2 linked regions of the Kluyveromyces lactis genome follow. The protein of the gene in region 2 purifies or fractionates together with the protein of the main gene of each other region. This does not show direct contact. Links are inferred from orthologs where the notes say so. Each region holds a gene or a part of one and is shown on either strand. Other genes may lie near its edges.

Region 1 (2,606 bases), on a different chromosome or scaffold from region 2:
GAAAGGTTCCCAGAGAGTAGTAACACGACAGAAACCGAAGCGAATAAGGACAATAGTGGGCAGTCACAGAACGAAGCTAATTCCGAGAGTTTGAACAGCTCTTATTCGAGGCAAAGTACAAATGGAAGCCAAAATAATGCTAAAAAAGATTATCATAGTACCAAAGGAAATTCAGCGGACTCAAACACCACCAAATCGTACCGTCAGTCGATATCCTCGGCGCCATTAGCACTGTCATCAATCCGGAGTACATCAAGGCCATCAATCGCTACAACTCTTGAGCATATATGTATCACAGAACCGTTCACTAGACCTCGAGGCATGAGCAAATCGGCTGACTTATGAAAAGTTTCATGTCAAATTTACCCATTATTGATCTGTTCCACTTTTTACTTCACCGTTCAGTACATTATCTAATATCTTTGAGAAAATGACATACAATCCAGAATCCTTGTAGAGATCAACTAAGCTCTCTTTGAACCCAGTCTGTTTCTCAATCAACTCGACAAACGTCGGATCAATTGGAATATTCCCCAGGTACGGAACGTTATATTCGCTGGCTAATTTGAAACCGCCTCCTCTAGAGAAGATATCTGTACATTCAGCACAATGAGGACATATAAATCCGGACATATTCTCGATGACACCGAGTATATTGAAGTTGACTTTCTTACAGAAATTGATTTCCTTTCTCACGTCTGCCGTAGCGACACCTTGAGGCGTGGTAACAATAATAGCACCATCAGGTGCAGCCCACCTCAACTCTTCTGCGATAGATATATGTTCATCCGAAGTTCCGGGCGGTGTATCGATAATCAAATAGTCCAAATCTCCCCAATCCACATCTTTTATAAATTGTTTAATCATAGCACTTTTCTTAGGACCACGCCATACCACACTATTACCTCTATCATCCAAAAGAAAACCCAAGGACATGAGTTTCAATTCCCCTCCTGATGTCGTAGGAACACTAACGGGTATCCAACCCTTAGAAGCCTGATAAACCTGTTTATTTTCTAAACCAAACATTCTAGGCAACGACGGTCCAGTTAGATCAATGTCTAAAACACCCACTTTGTATCCCTTTAAACATAAAGTTAATGCTGTCTGTGTGGTGACAGATGACTTACCAACACCACCTTTACCAGAAAGGACCAATATAATGTGCTTGATGTCCTTTAAGGACTCAGGCATACCCAATAATTCGGTTTCAGCTGACATCGAGATACAATTGATTATGATCCTGGGACACTAAACGTACCAGCCACTGCAGATATGACTGTATATGCTCACAGTGGACAGAATACTTATAAAAGGGTATACTGCAAATACTTTTCTCAGCCGTTTAAACAGTAGGTTGACTAATACATTTAACTCTTAGCTTAACTAGGATTTCATGATGATAATGATACCTTTGTCAGAGCGAAGGGGAAACCTTCGAGGACAATATCACGTGATTAAACTTCAACAAAAAGTTTTCGTTAAGCGAATCGATTTGGTAGTAGCTTACAGATGGACTAGGAAGTTCCAAGGTGAAACTGCACTTAATTCCCTATGGTTAGATCTGAGTATCTTGACAAATCTACACTTTGTATTTTATTGTTGAGGCACTAGAAATAATTAAGGTATGAGTTCAAACTATAGTGGAATGCAAGGTGATTTGACACAGCGAGATGCGAGTAGGACGCAATTGTTTGCGGGTACTGACTTCTCTAAGTATAAACAACAACAGGATAGACCAAGTTCGCCGTTTGATAGACCATCCCCAGGGGTAGATTATTCTCAAGCAACACTTTCGCAGCTCGAGTCTCAAAGTGATGAACAAATGAATACCATGAGTGAAAAGATCAACGCACTAAAGAATTTATCTCTACGAATGGGAGATGAGATTCGTGGTAGCAATCAGACCTTAGATCAGTTAGGAAACGTTTTTGAACAGACTAGCAACCGTTTGAAAAGGACTTTCAAGAGAATGATGGTGATGGCTCAGAATTCTCGCATTCCATTAAAAATATGGTTCATAATATTTGGTGTTCTGACACTTTTGTTCTTCTACGTCTGGATACGTTGAGAGAGCGAGAGCGAAATAAAAAACCACAAAAGGGTCATGTACTGAAGAGTATCCCATCGAGCATGTATATCTAATTCGTATTGGTTAAACGCATTCCTTCACGCATTATATGTACCATTAAAAAGATATATTAATAAATCGTAACTATCAGTATTAGGTTGAAATATAAGATTATTTATAGGAAGAATTCCTGTTCCTCAATCCATGAGCTTAGCTTCCTTCCCGAGGATACCATGAGTATCCCGTTTTGCAGCGTAACGTCTTTTCAGTTTATAATGATGAATGGTTCTGGGTATTTTCCATAACGCCAAGAATGTCACCACAACAAATAAGTAATTGATTCCGCTAAATTCGCGGAGGTAGTCAATTAATCTGAGCAATCCACTGAGTGGAGTTCTCAAAAAGATGCGTTCAATACGAAGATCAGGGTGTCTTGCGGGGAAATTCAGAATGGAGAGGACTTCGGGCAACGTCTCTAGGGTGATGTATTGTCCAGAAGCATCCTTTTCGTAATAGATGGCTTTTTGCTTGTCCA
Region 2 (3,766 bases):
AGGAATTTGCAATTGGCGTTGATATATCTTAGCTATTTGCATCAATTGATACGCTATTAGAGTGTCCATGGCCGCAAACAAAACGGGCATTAGAAACTCCGCTTGTTGAACGAATGCCATTAAAGCTACCAGCAGAGGCACATGATGCACAACACCACCATCATAAATGGGCAAATTATGCAGTAAAAGATACGCACCTTCTTGCAGAGATCTATAGCTTGTAACCGGAGTAGAAAACTCAACGGTTCTGTCCAATTGCTGCTGCAAAGAAGGGAACAGGTACGAAACAGCCAATCTGGACGCAAAACAAGCCCATACAACCTGCCATTCGGACGAAACCATAATCACCTCAAGCGACACAACAAGTCAACACAGTAGGGTCACTTCGTATCCTCTCAGAATCGTATCACCGTTCAATGCAAAAAAACAAACCAATCGTGAACCGAGCTTCGTAATTGCAGTACAAATTATGCATATTTGAAAGCTTATTGTATTGAAATGAAGTACATCAGTTAAATCAATGGTAATACAAAAAGTGATCCACACAAACATTACCCGGACACGTGAACAGTTTACTCTAATACGTGTTTACATATCACGTGATTAAGATACTCGCTTCTAAAACAGCAGAATTTTGCAACCTGCAGTCGAATGTCAGGTTTAGTCACAACAATACTGTGTTTAACCGATAATCTTACAGCACTGAGGCACAGAGATCTGAGTTCAAGCCTTTCCTTAGTGGGTCATTTTTTGTTTTGCATTATTTGGCATTTTCTGACCTTGAAAGAAATGTTTTGATGAAAAAAATATCTAGCAATACACAGGATTTATCAACACAACAAAAAGAGAACCAGAGTAGCCTGTAAAAGTCCAATTGCTCAGGCTAAGGTGAGTGCTAGGGATTTGATCTGTTTGAACCACATAGAAGATTTATACATTCTTTTCCAACTGCTTATAGATTGGAATCAAGAGATTTAGCACCATGGATTTCGAACAAAACGAAGATATTAACGGTGTTCGTTTCTCATGGAACGTGTTTCCAGCGTCAAGAACTGACGCTAATAAGAATGTGGTTCCAGTTGGATGTTTATACACTCCTTTGAAGGAACGTGAAGATCTTGCTGTTGCTGGCTATAATCCTGTGGTATGTGGTAACATCAACTGTAAATCTGTGTTAAATCCTTACTGTGAGATCGATGTTAGATCCAATACCTGGACTTGTCCTATTTGTAAGACAAGAAACATTCTTCCTCAACATTATGCCAATATGACGCAGGAAACTTTACCACTGGAATTGACTAATACTACAGTTGAATATATCACCAGTGTTCCTGTCCAAGTTCCACCAATTTTCTTCTTTATTGTGGATACTACTGCAGAAGAGGAAAACCTCCAAGCTTTGAAGGAATCAATTATCACTTCATTGTCCTTGCTTCCTGCAAATGCATTAGTTGGTCTAATCACTTACGATAATGTGATTCAACTGCACGACTTATCATCAGCTTCTATTGATAAATGTAATGTGTTCAGAGGTGATCGTGAATACCAATTGGCTCAATTAGTTGAAATGCTAACCGGTGAAAAATTAAATGCTGCACAAGCCGTTAATATCAATGCTCCAACCAAGGTTACACCTTTCTCTTTGAACAGGTTCTTCTTACCATTGGAACAAGTTGAATTCAAGTTGACCCAATTGTTGGAAAACCTGAAGCCTGATCAATGGGATGTGAAATCTGGTTTCAGACCTTTAAGAGCGACTGGTTCTGCTTTGAACATTGCATCGTTGGTGTTGGAAGGTTGTTACAAGAACGTTGCTGCTAGAATAATCTTGTTCTCCTCCGGTCCTGGCACCGTGGGCCCAGGTCTTGTCGTTTCCCCGGAATTAAAAGACCCATTGAGATCTCATCACGATATTGATTCTGATTCTGCAAAACATTACAAGAAGGCCTGTAAATTCTACAACCAATTGGCTCAAAAAGTCGCTGACAATGGTCATACAGTCGATATTTTTGCTGGTTGTTATGATCAAGTTGGTATGTCCGAAATGAAGAGACTAACAGATTCCACTGGTGGTGTCTTGTTATTGACTGATGCGTTCTCCACCGCTATTTTTAAACAGTCATATCTAAGATTCTTTTCTAAGGATGAAGAAGGTTATTTGCAAATGGCATTCAAGGGTACCTTGTCTGTTAAGACAAGTAGCGATCTAAAATTACAAGGTTTAATTGGCCACGCCTCTGCTGTGAAGACTAAGACCGAGGCCTCCAATGTCAGTGATTCTGAGATAGGTATTGGTGGTACTTCTTCTTGGAAGATGTCATCTTTATCGCCACGCCACACTTACGCTGTGTTCTTTGAAATTGTCAACCCGGGTGCATCTGCTGAAGTAATGACAGATAGGCCTAAGTTAGCTTACACCCAATTCATTACATCGTATGAACATTCCTCCGGTACAAACCGTGTCAGGGTCACCACTGTTGCTAACCAAATGTTGTCCTTTGGAAATCCAGCCATTGCATCCTCCTTTGATCAGGAGGCTGCTGCCGTTCTAATGGCAAGAATTGCTGTTGACAAGGCAGAATCTGATGATGGCGCTGATGTCATTAGATGGATTGACAGAACTTTGATTAAATTGTGTCAAAAATACGCTGACTACAATAAGAATGATCCATCATCATTCAGATTATCTCCTCAATTTTCATTGTATCCACAATTCACATATTATTTGAGAAGATCTCAGTTTTTGTCTGTTTTCAATAACTCTCCGGATGAAACTGCATTTTACAGACACATTTTCACTAGAGAAGATACCACTAACTCACTGATTATGATTCAGCCTACTCTAACCTCATTCTCCATGGAAGAAGAACCTCAACCAGTGTTGTTAGATTCTGTTTCAGTGAAACCAAACACAATTTTGTTGTTGGATACCTTCTTTTATATTTTGATTTATCACGGTGAACAGATTGCTCAATGGAGAAAAGCAGGTTACCAAGATGATCCGCAGTATGCAGACTTCAAGTCCTTATTAGAAGAACCAAAGCTTGAAGCAGCAGAATTATTGATTGACAGATTCCCTCTACCAAGATTCATTGATACTGAGGCTGGCGGTTCGCAAGCCAGATTCTTGTTATCCAAGTTGAACCCATCTGACAGTTATCAAAGTGGTGCTGTCGCTGGTTCAACTATCGTGTTGACTGATGATGTTTCTTTACAAAATTTCATGTCCCACTTGCAACAAGTAACTGTTAATGGTCAAACATAATTATTGTCCTGATGGCAGTAGTGTTGAACATACCATGCTTATGCTTTCCAACCAGGTACATATTTGATAAAAATCTCATAAAGCGTTTTATGAGCATATGTTATATAAATTAGTCCTATATAATGATACTGATTGCTAAATTACTAAACCAGGGTCATTAAAGTTCGAATACCCACATATCTAAAGACGTACCATCAAAAACAACGAAGTTATTAAGCGGAGATTGCCTTTTCCCTAGAATATTTATCACGTCTTGTGCAACGGCTCCTCCAATGATTGCTGCCACAGGACTGATTTCTACAGCGGCTTGTTCAACAAATTCTTCAATGGTATCATTGCTGATTTCTCCAATTAATAAACCAAGCTGCTTACGAGTTAAATCATACTTCTTCCTAAAATCATCTAAATTTATGTTTTGAAAAGTTTCATACTGTAATAGTGTAAGAGTTAAGGGAACCTTTGGAGTCATTCTTTTCAATTGCCGTCTAGACAATTGGTTAA

Evidence for each region. Proteins that work in one complex are often made in the same cells at the same time.
Region 1: the proteins of SEC23 (region 2) and BET1 purify together in Saccharomyces cerevisiae (affinity purification with western blotting; 4 studies listed by BioGRID, with this or other methods). This does not show direct contact. The link is inferred for Kluyveromyces lactis from reciprocal best matches to the Saccharomyces cerevisiae genes SEC23 and BET1.

What each region holds. Positions count from the first base shown.
Region 1 is NC_006040.1:1,198,702-1,201,307, forward strand, and holds BET1 (Bet1p), read left to right. Parts: upstream 1-1,627; coding exon 1,628-2,071; downstream 2,072-2,606. Other genes in the region: VAB2 (Vab2p), read left to right, coding at 1-345; iron-sulfur cluster assembly protein CFD1, read right to left, coding at 370-1,221; protein disulfide isomerase EPS1, read right to left, coding at 2,269-2,606. UniProt on the Saccharomyces cerevisiae protein: SNARE required for targeting and fusion of ER-derived transport vesicles with the Golgi complex.
Region 2 is NC_006041.1:432,797-436,562, reverse strand, and holds SEC23 (GTPase-activating protein SEC23), read left to right. Parts: upstream 1-982; coding exon 983-3,265; downstream 3,266-3,766. Other genes in the region: GPI-anchor transamidase subunit GAB1, read right to left, coding at 1-342; E1 ubiquitin-activating protein AOS1, read right to left, coding at 3,423-3,766. UniProt on the Saccharomyces cerevisiae protein: Component of the coat protein complex II (COPII) which promotes the formation of transport vesicles from the endoplasmic reticulum (ER).